Xenopus tropicalis: one gene and its partners. The protein of the gene in region 1 interacts with the protein of each later gene in a pairwise test. Links are inferred from orthologs where the notes say so. Each region holds a gene or a part of one and is shown in the gene's direction. Other genes may lie near its edges.

Region 1 (3,705 bases):
CAGAACTGGGCATGACTGAAGCTAATATGGCCTTTATCAGTTTCATTTAGTAATTTTACTGGCATGTCTGGGGTTAATATGCCCTTTATCAATTTAATGTAGTCATACTGGCACCTTTATTCTTTTTATTTAGTGATTATACTGACACATCTGGGGCACATAAACTAGGTGCGGCACGTGGGGGCGTGGTCACGAAGCAGGCTTGGCCCAAAAATTTTGCCGCGCTGCATACTTTTCTCCCTCTTTCTCTTACTGAAATGATGGGAGGTATGCAGGTAGTGTGATTATTTCCACAGAACACTGTTAATGCAATTTAATGCAATATGGCATCACTTCTGGGTTGAACGCCAGCAATTAATATTCCTGTTTAATAGCATGCAATGGCGCTTCCTAGTCCTCTCTTTAAAGGACATGAAAAGTCTAATTCACTGGGGGGGAGCCAAAATGTAGAGAACCCCCCAGTGAAATAGCACCAGCCTGGGTAAAAATATAGCAATCTATTTCTCTTGGGGGGGGGGGATCTGCCTAACATTTTAGCCCCCCCCCAGATTTTACATGTCCTTTCACTTCCTACACAGCATTTCCTATTAACATGTAACGCACACAAAAAGACTTTGCCTGACACAAAAACTTTCCCCACCCACTAAAAGTTTTTGTGTTGGGCACCCACTAACATCCCCTCGACATTTTTGCTGCAGCAGGTTAATCATTTTGACTTCCTTCTCCACAGTTATTCAATCACCCCAGCACACCACGCATCCGCCGCCCCCAAAGGTTAGAATACAACGAAAGTGCGCAAGTCTTTATACAGACGCATGCGCAGTGAAAGGCGGTAGAACTGGCCCAGCATGAACCCACCAATGGGGAGAGCGAATTGGTTCCCACAGTAACGCGGATACGTGTTTAGACGCTCTGTTCCTTAATATTACTCCTGTCTTCAGCGAGAGGGCACATTAACTATTGTGGCGCTGAATGTAAGGAGAATGTTCTGTTAATGTATAGTCTGCATGCATTCTGTATTGTGTGCACTTGTGAGAGCGGTCAGGGTGCGGGGCTGAGCGGTATCATTTAATTAATGACTCAAGGAGGGAAAGATGGCCGCTGGGTAAAAGCTAATATTCTGCTGTCACACCATTCTGATTTTTGCCTTCAAATTCTGAGGTTCAGGTGGGGAGCTGTGCCCTACTTATGAACATGGTGAGGTAATTTGGGATTTACATGTCCTTTAATTCCATAAATAGACTCATTTAGACCCACAACACTATTGGGGTGATTTATGGCAAACTGGGGAAAGAAGTTCAGAGCAGTAAGTTGTATAAGTTGAGTGTGAGAGCTTGTTTCTTAGTGCTCATTCAGAAAGCAATTCTTCCTTCCTTCGATTTGCACCTCACAACATATAAACAAAAGGTATTTTGTCCTAATAAAAAAAATGCATTTTGTGGCTTCCCATTTGATGATAGGGTAAGTGTAAAGCTGTGCTATGTGATACTGAAAATTTCTTATGTTCTCTTAATTTTTTATGTTTGAAACAGGGCCGGACTGGGTCACCAGGACACTGGCAAAATACCAGATGGTAACTGGCAGCGGTAAGGCTGATGCCACACCAGGCGTAGGGCTGATTTTTTCGGCAAGCGGAAAAACGCTTGCCGAAAATTCAGCCCTACGCCTGCTACTTGTGCCTGCACCCGAATGAATGGGATACGCTCGGGTGAAGGCACAAGTAGCCGATATACGCATGAAAACGCGAGACTTTGCATTCTCTCGCGTTTTCATGCGTATATCGGCTACTTGTGCCTTCACCCGAGCGTATCCCATTCATTCGGGTGCAGGCACAAGTAGCAGGCGTAGGGCTGAATTTTCGGCAAGCGTTTTTCCGCTTGCCGAAAAAATCAGCCCTACGCCTGGTGTGGCATCAGCCTAAAGGACTAGTGCAGGGGTCCTTGAATTACGGTCTGCGGGCCAGATATGACCCCCTGCTGCCGTGGGCTGTAGTTTTAGGCATAACTGAGTTGCCGGCAGCCTCCTCCTCCATCTACCCCTGTGTTGGCGTTCTGCTCTGCCCAGCGCGTCACCGTGTCACCACATAATACGGTGACATCACCGTGTTACGTGTGACGCGATGACGCGCTGGCCAGAGTAAAACACCAACACAGGGGTAGACCTGCCCCCCAACAGTCTGAGGGACCATGAACCAGTCCCTTGTCCAAAAAGTTTAAGGACCCCTGGACTAGTGCATCGGGGCTGGTTGGACCCTTAACTGAGGTCTTCTAACAATCCCCATTTATGCCAGTCCGACACTGATTTTATTATACTAAAGGTTATTTTTGGATTAGTTTCCACTTTCTAATTTTTCAGCTGTGCTTTATTTACCTATTGGATACAAATTATTTGAATAGGGATTTTTGTATGCTTAAATGGTTGAGAAGAACATACTATGTAATTTAATTGATTGTACCCACTATTACAATACTAGATGCTCTGTGTTAACATAGAAGCACATTCTGACTTACTGAAAATATTAACTTAGATTTATGTACCTCCTACATTCACAGGCTCAAAAATGTTGCCAAAAGAGGAGGAATTTTCTGTTCTTCTGGCTAAAAAAGAACAAGAATGGAGAGAACTTCAGCAGCTACAGGTTCAGTTTTTGGAGATGACTCTGGAAGATACAAAAAAGGAACTTCAAGAACAAAGAGAGAAATTTGCTTCTCTGAAGAAGGACTTCACCCACAATCTCAAGGTGTTGGGAGAGAGGGACCAAGAGCTTGAACAGTTTGAAATGATGTTCAGTCAACTTAAAGTAGTTGAGAGTGAAAAGCAGGCCAGAATCAGTGACTTACGTGTGCAGATTGAGAAACTCCAGCAGCAGATCCAAAAAGAAAAGAAAAAAGTAGAAGACTTACAAAGTCACTATCAGAAAAAACTCAAAGAACAACATCTGCATTTAGAGAGCGTTCGCAGGTACTGCTTTTACCTAAATATGGTTATATTATATAATAACTGCCACACACCTGTTATAAATACTTACACATGCTGTTTTTAAAGGCCATGTGTAAGCAGTTAAAACAGGCATGTGGTAGTTATTTTATTTAATAGTACTACACCATCAGCAACTTTTTATTTTCTTGCAGACCAATAAGAGGGCTGTATATACAAGCTCATCAAAATTGGTACCGTTCTTTTAGGTTTTGCATATAGCAAAAAAAATATTTATATAAAATATATATTTTTTCTGCATACATGTATTACAACTTGTATATGCAGTGCTGTAAATGTCTAACAAGGTATTTTTACCACTGACAAGGATCGTTAGAAAGGTAAGAGGAGAACCATGATGTAGCTTCACCAGTGGAATGAAGTATGTACATTATTAAACGGGAACAGTCAACAGAAACAAATGCCAATAATAAATCTAGGAGGATGAGAATAGAGGCATCATATGGCCTTAGCAACTTGGCTATTGCAATAAGATTGGAAAGGCAGATTGCCAAACTTTTGTCCTGTAAGAAAACACAACACAGTATGATAAAAAAAATTAATTTCATTTCTGATGCCAGTCTTGACACAGGTCTGTTTGAATAAAGAGAAAAAAATTACAGGCAATAGATAAGAATAGTATAGGTGAGTACTGCAGCAGCACAGTTTTAAAAGGGTATCAAGGAAGCAAGTTATGAATGGAGAGGACAAGACTAGCTGAGTGTTTTA
Region 2 (3,755 bases), about 2.2 Mb from region 1:
AGCAGGTAACAGAATTGGGGGGAATGCTATAAATAATATTATGAAATAAATGCCATAAATGATATGATGAATGAGCAACAAAATAAACTAAGGCTTGAAGGGGTCAAAACATTTCAGGAGCTTTGGGGTACTGTGATTCACAAGTATACACCACTTCAGTTAAAGGAGAACTAAACCTAAAAATGAAAATGGCTAAAGATGCCATATTTGATATACTGAACTTACTGAACCAACCTAAAGTTTCAGCTTCTCTATAGCGGTAATGATACAGGTCTTTTGAGAGCGGTCTGAGCAGCTGATGAGATGCTAAGCTTAGGGGTTTTTGCAAATTATCAAAAGATTATTACAAAATGAGGTTTGCCTGTCATAGAAGCTGATGCTACAGGGCTGATTATTAAATTCTGGTGCAAATTGCACTGGTTTCAGAGCTGCCATATAATGAGAATCTAAATAAATTAAGTGACAGCAGCGCAAAACATGTGCAGTGAATCAGGAGAAAAGAAGATGGGGAGCTACTGGGGCATCTTTGGAGGCACAGATCTTCCCTACTAAAGGTCTATGGTTGCCTTGGGCTGGTACAGAAACCCAAAATATGTACATTTCTAGCCTACTTCTTTAGTTAAGCTTCAGTTCTCTTTTAAGTTGGGCATTTACAACAAGAGCATATCGCTAGGCAAAGTCTCCAAACCTTTTACTGATTAGGCTACCCAACGTCTGGGCCAAATCGAGGTGATCAAATTATTTGGCAGGTGGGCCAACAATCAGATCATACTAAGAGCCTATGGAAACACGAGAGGATTCAATATACTCAAGTGGCCCTCATCCAACAGGATTTTCTAACCTGCCCAGAAAGATATCTAAATAATTTTTAGGTGTCAATCGAGCTGGCCCCTCATAAAAGCCCCTTACATGGGCCAGAAAACTGCCAATTTGGCCAGAAGGCATCCAGTTAGCAGCTTTTATTAACCTATGTTTGGATCCGTACTATTTAAAATTTAAAAACTCTTTTACATTTTAATTTAGCTGTATTGTACTAGGAACATAACGGGGGATATTTCTAGGGATCTAGAATACAACTTCTTTACAGTGATCTCTAGGCACTGTATGTAGAAAGAACCCAAGCAAGCATTTGCTGGTGAACATACAATGTGTGCCTTTGAAAGCTGAGAATTTTACCCACATCCCTAAGTGGTTTTCTCCTGTACAAGCAGCTGGCAATTAGCTGACGCTCCCTTGCATTGTTATTTGCATCCCCTCACATATTCTTTCTGTACATGTGGCTGGCTCAGTTCAGTTGCAGTCTGGCCATGGAAAGGTAAGGAGCTCCTCTGTTCTCTGACTGCCTCTGACCTATGAACCAGCAAAACACAGGGTCTGGATGTGCATAAATTCGCCTTGTTACTGTATCATTTTCTGCAATGTCATTTGCATGTAAGTTTCCTCTTCTGCTTAGGGAGTTATTTCTTTTATACAAATTAATTAGCCCTGGCAATAGAAAAGCAATAGATAGATATTTGTATAGGTTGTGTGTTTGGTATGAAACTTAAATTAAAGCGCATCCGAAATATTCAGAAATTATACATACATTATATTTATTTTTATATTCTCCAATTCATTTTCTGACTTTTCGTTTCTGTGTGGAGCTTTAATGTTGAGTAGATTTAGAATTTTCTTGAGTTGTATATCCCAATTTAATAGTAAGATGTTTCTAATTGTGCGAGGTATAAGGGCACATTCTTCACGGATTTACGCATCCCTTGGGATGACTGGCTTAACAGAAAATTCTAGAGTATAAGGTTCTGATTTAGATGTAAGAAGTGTTCCGTCTAGTATCTAGATGAACTGACTCGCTGTTATCATCCGCTGTAATTTTTGTTACTTTCTGCAGTAATAATGATTGTTGTGGTTGTTAGAATAATCCCTACAAAATAACTCGCTATGTGTTTTTTTAAAGCATTTTACGTTGATGCCAGCTGATAACATGGCTTTTGATCATGGTGCTTGGGTGGGTTTAAGCATTTATTTGTGATGCACCAGTACCTGGATCCGGGGCAAATCTCAGCACTTTTTGCAGGATTCGGATCTGGCTGAAACTGTAGGTCCATAGCCGAAACAAATCCACATCATGTGCATTTAAAGCACAGGACAGTTAGATAACTGAAGGTGATGATATGATTTATACATGAAAATGCAAATTCGGGTTTGGATTTGATTTGGCTGAATTTATAGTAGAGAATCCAATATTCAGCCAAGTTATATATTTGATGTATTACTGGTATTTTTTTTTAAACTGGAATAGCTTTAATTGAAAACATACAGGTATAGGATCCCTTGGCTTGAAATCAGTTATGCAGAAAGTTCCAAAATATGTCCAAAATAAGGCCAGCTCCCATAGAGTCCATATTAAGAAAATAATTCAATTTGTTTTCAAAATTATTTCCTTTATCTCTGTGATAATCAAATGGCACCTTGTACTTGATGGTAACAAAGGTGCATGAATTCATATTGGTGACACAACAATCCTATTGAGCTTATTTCACGTTTCAATGTTTTTTAGTTAACTTAGGGTATTGTGATCTGAATTATGGAAAAGTCACTTATCCAGCAAATCCCAGGTCCCAAGCATTCTGGATACTGTACCATTCTGGATGTCTGTACCATTAAGTAACAGTTTTCTTCTTTTTCTTTGTATATTTAATGTACATATGTAGAGAGCGAGAGAGAGAGAGAGAGAGAGAGAGAGAGAGAGAGAGAGAAATAAATGTTTGTGAATCTCTCAGCATTGGAAATCGCTCTTATAGTTCTATATTCTAAAGGCGGGCACATTGCTGCTAGAAAAAGTTATGCTACATAAAATATAGCTTGCTTAGAGTAAATAAAGGGAGTTACAATAGGAGGTTTTGTGAGAAAAATCTGATTCCAGAGTCACTGCCCCTTTAAGCCTTGCAGACTGCAGCAGCCCTCTTCGCACATCTGATGAAGAGACGAGAATACCCTGTGCGACAGAAAGGTTGATCTATTAAAAGTTATCATACCTTAACTTAACAAGTTGACGTCTATAGCCTAATAAATACCACACTGTTTCCTGTAACTAGAAACACACCACATCAAACCTGTTACCAACACAATCTTACAACAGGCATATCTTTCAGTAAATGATTACACACAATCTTGTAAAAATTATATGGGCTCCAAATAATAAAATATAATCTGTATTTCCACTAATCGCTAATATTGACTTCAGCTTAAATTTCTAAAATATTATACTGGGGGTCAATGAGAGATTTTACTTTGAAATTGCATCAGATCTGTATATTTTCTATTATTTAAAAAATGACCAGAATACATTTTGCCCTGAGCTGCCTGCACCTACTTGTATCATTACTAGTGCGCAGCAATTCTAAATAAATACAAAATAATAAGTGGCCTGTATTAATTGAGCGGTATCAGAGGTCAAGCTTATAAGGGTGTAAACCTAGCAGCCAATTAGAAAGAATGTATTACACTAATATTCCCTATCAGGACAGGTGGCTTATTCCTCCCTCTGTTGTATTAAATACAGCAGCTAATTAAGATAATGAAGTTGTATTACACCAGCCTCTGTCTGAGAATCTACTCATTTAGTAACTCAGCTTTGAAATGTTTACCTATATGGCTTATTTATGACTGCTACAGGCACAACTGCACCCTTACGCCAATCCCAGAGAACTGAAGTGCTAGGCAGTAAGTGCAGGGCACCCCTCTGTATGTAGTGT
Region 3 (3,655 bases), on another chromosome or scaffold:
AGAGCAAATCAGAAATTTGGGTTCTGAAAAAGATAATATCTGGCCCCCGATGAGGGATTTTGTGGGATATGGAAGAAATAAAGTTCAATTAACTTACTGGATGAACAAACAATGCTGGGTTTTTGGATAAGGGAATGACTATCGTTAGTACTGCAACTGATTCAGAACTATCATTGACAGCTGTTGTTTGTAGTCGTGGAAAGGTTTCAGTTATCAGTTTTTGGGTTTCCTATATCTTTACAATGTCCTTACTTGTGTCTGGTTTAGGAGAGCTCGAGAGGAGAAAGCCATACTTCACCACCGTGTGCTTTGCATGCAGAATGCCTGGAACCACTGGAAATGGGTAAGAGAGTGCACAACATCACTCTTACGTCAGTATTTTACTGGAAACAGCTGGAGCTAAATATATCTGTCTATATAATTCCTGTTTTAGAGGCTGATGTATTAACCGGCACCCTAGCAATGTTTTTCTGCAGTTTTTGTTTCAGAGACATGAAAAGTGGAAAAAACAAGTCAGGGCTGATCTACACTACCAGCGCAACTTGCTTGCAAATGTATTTCAGGCATGGAAAGTAAGTTTTCAAGAGCCCTGTAACACACACGTAATGCTTACCAGTTCTCAATGCAAATAATTCTTCATTTTCTCTTTTTCAGCATTATCATATTAGTGTACAGGACATACTGCATCAGGTGAAGGAGAAAGAGAAGCAAAAAAATGAATCTTTCTTGCGGTGAGTTTTCTCCTTCAGTGGCCAAAAAAAAGGCAGTTTAATTTGGGGAGAATACCCTTTTACTATGTAGATATACCTGGAAGCTAGCCTAATTTCGTAAAGTTAGATTTAAGGCTGTCTTGATATTCTTAGAACTATGGCTGAAAAGGCAACATTGACATTCATCTGTAACCTTATTATGTTCTAATGGGGGGTTATAATTGAATGCTGGACAGCAAATGGGAGCTTAAATCGACAAAAAAATCTTTAAAGCAATTACCTAAGGGGGTCAGTAGTGGTAGCTGTAGTTCAACAAATTTAGTATTTTTTTAAATAAAACACTGTCATTTATTAAATGTCACAATAATGTTGGTAGGTTTGAACAAAAATATTAAGTTTATTGTCCAAAAATCACGATTTTTTAAGCCAAGAAATTTGTGAAATTTAAATGGCCGTTCATTTCCATGAATCCTATTTTTTACCTAAACAGTAATTGCTCCAGCAGCTATTTTAGGAGCATTTGCACTCATTCTTGGAAAACAATAATGTGTTCAAGTTTCATTTGAAATTGGGTGAAATAGAGAACAATGATGTGATTAACTTCCCCTTGAAAAATGTGTGAAATGGAAAATAATGATGGGAATAATTTCCTGAGCCTAACTGTTTCTATACAGAACCGTATACAATATTGCCTTCTGTGCTGTCATTAAAGGGCATTGTACATTCTAATCTTGAAACTTGTAGATTGTGTTCAAAAATATTTTTGCTTGTTTTTAGTTACTGTTTAAGTGGGTTTTTAATTTAAGATTAAAATTTACTATGTTGTATACAACTATATTCTAACGCAGATTTTATTGTGTATTTTTATACATTTATTTATTTATTTTTTTTTAAATGATTTAACATTTTTGTTTGCTGTATGATTAGTAAACTTGTTGCTAGGGTCCTAGTGACCCCAACAACCAGACAGTAGGGGGGTAATTTACATTTCCCAGGGGTGTGAGTGCTTGAGCACAAAGGGTGCTAGAGAGCCTTACAAAATGCTGCACTCTGCTCTTTTCAATATAAAAAGCAGAGCACGGAGCAATGAAGCACAGATGAACCCTGCCATAGGACAGGGGCCTGGTTGCGGCCTTCTGCTGCCTAACATTATCTTAATAATGCAGAAGTTAGGTAGTGGGAGAGAGGATGCCTACGTGACTCCACTTACTCACCTCTCATAGATAAAGTGCTGCTTAATGCAGGCGGTACTCTATTTAGAGGGGTTACTCTGATAGGGCCCAGTTGTGGCCTGCACTTCTAGCTGGTACCTAATTTGTGCATCTAAATGATGCTCGGGGGAGGATGCTTGCATGCATCTCCTCCCTCGCCACTCTTGGATAGTGTTGCCCAATGCAATCGGGGCTCTGTTCAAGGGGATAACCACAGATCTCAGTACTCTGAATGGGAGCGCAGAGGCTCGTGGCAGTATGTCTAGAGCTGAAAGCAGTATACAAAAATGTGTTTTGGTTTTTTTGCATCTTGCAACTGTTATATTCTGCAAATGACCCCTAGTCTTGAAAGTATACTGTGTGGGGAAGGGCATATAACAGGAAAACTGCTCCTGGTGTAGTTGCGCAAATTTGCCTGCTGGAGGGAACTTTGCGCAGGTTCAGAAAGCTGAAGCAACGCATAGGTCTTTCCACTGGCGATTCCTACTGTTGCTAATGGAAAGGCATTTCGGAGTAGTTATTCACCCAAGGTATCCTGATCTATCACAGGCGACTAAATTGCTTCCTCAGACATTAGCCTTAAATTGAGCACTTTAAATATCTTAAAATTTGGAACCAGGAGTTTCCCTGTTATTTGTTCTTCCCCACAGAGTATAGTTTTTTAATGCTTATGTGTTAGTCCTGCAAGTTGGTGGGAGCTGCAAACACTAATACAGTGCCAATTGGACTTTTTGTGCTTTTTAAATGACCCCTAGTGTCTTGAATGACAGACTGGAAGATTAAGAGGGGACAGCCTTGAAAAGAAACTTTATTTTAAAATAATGATGATTTTTTGGTGAACATCCTCTTTAATTGCTGTAGTTCTAACAATTTAAACCTATATATTTTTTTGTTTGTATAGAACTCTACAAGTATTTGGCAGATCACACCATGTCATTGGGGAAAAATAATTATCTGCATATGTTAAATTGAATATAGCAAATAATTCACTCTACCATTTAAAAAAAAATTCTTAAACCAACAAATGTATTTTCTTAGTTGTAATATTGGTGTGTAGGCAGCCATCTCAGTGCATTGAGCCTGTGTCTGAGCTTTCAGAAGGAGCCAATGCTACACATTAGAACTGCTTTCAGTTAACCTATTGTTTCTCCAACTCCCATGTAACTGGAGGAGTCCCAAGCCAGACTTGGATTCCTTACTATTGAGTGCTATTCTGATATCTACTGGGAGCTGCTATATTGCTCCTTTCCCATTGTTCTGCTGATCGGCTGCTGGGAGGGAAAGGGAGGGGGGTGATATCATTCCAACTTGCAGCTCAGCAGTAAATTGTGATTGAAGTTTATCATAGCACATGTCACATGGCTGTGGAACCCTGGGAAATGAAGAATATGGCTAGCCCCATGTGACATTTCAAAATTAATAATAATAATAATAATAATAAATATAAAAACAATCTGTTTGTGTTTTGGTTTTTTTTAAATGGATTTCAATGGAAGAAAATGGATTTTGATTCAAGGATTTTTTGCTCTCTAGAGGTGCACTGTGTAGCTGGAGGAATCAAGCATCTGCTCAGGTTCTGGAGAGAAGGCAGGAAAGACTTGCAATTATTCACTACAGGGCTACAACTCAAATAAAGGTAAACTCTCAGAGTGCAGCTTCTTCTCTCTGAACCCATCTTATGTACTATGAGTAACTGAATCCATGTTACAGGTTGTTCGGGCATGGAGAGATTCT

What was found.
Region 2: the proteins of ccdc57 (region 1) and tmem100 interact in binary tests that used the Homo sapiens proteins (3 or more experiments, as listed by UniProt). The two-hybrid records come from large-scale screens. The link is inferred for Xenopus tropicalis from reciprocal best matches to the Homo sapiens genes CCDC57 and TMEM100.
Region 3: the proteins of ccdc57 (region 1) and sfi1 interact in a two-hybrid assay, tested with the Homo sapiens proteins (2 studies listed by BioGRID). The two-hybrid records come from large-scale screens. The link is inferred for Xenopus tropicalis from reciprocal best matches to the Homo sapiens genes CCDC57 and SFI1.

The regions. Positions count from the first base shown.
Region 1 is NC_030686.2:27,521,773-27,525,477, reverse strand, and holds the start of ccdc57 (coiled-coil domain-containing protein 57), read left to right. Parts: upstream 1-830; 5' UTR 831-974; intron 975-1,040; exon of another isoform or gene 1,041-1,461; intron 1,462-2,552; 5' UTR 2,553-2,560; coding exon 2,561-2,961; intron 2,962-3,705. UniProt on the Homo sapiens protein: Pleiotropic regulator of centriole duplication, mitosis, and ciliogenesis. Critical interface between centrosome and microtubule-mediated cellular processes. Centriole duplication protein required for recruitment of CEP63, CEP152, and PLK4 to the centrosome.
Region 2 is NC_030686.2:25,278,920-25,282,674, reverse strand, and holds the start of tmem100 (transmembrane protein 100), read left to right. Parts: upstream 1-1,247; 5' UTR 1,248-1,315; intron 1,316-1,328; exon of another isoform or gene 1,329-1,431; intron 1,432-3,755. UniProt on the Homo sapiens protein: Plays a role during embryonic arterial endothelium differentiation and vascular morphogenesis through the ACVRL1 receptor-dependent signaling pathway upon stimulation by bone morphogenetic proteins, such as GDF2/BMP9 and BMP10.
Region 3 is NC_030677.2:152,123,726-152,127,380, forward strand, and holds part of sfi1 (protein SFI1 homolog), read left to right. Parts: intron 1-267; coding exon 268-343; intron 344-476; coding exon 477-572; intron 573-654; coding exon 655-731; intron 732-3,454; coding exon 3,455-3,557; intron 3,558-3,631; coding exon 3,632-3,655. UniProt on the Homo sapiens protein: Plays a role in the dynamic structure of centrosome-associated contractile fibers via its interaction with CETN2.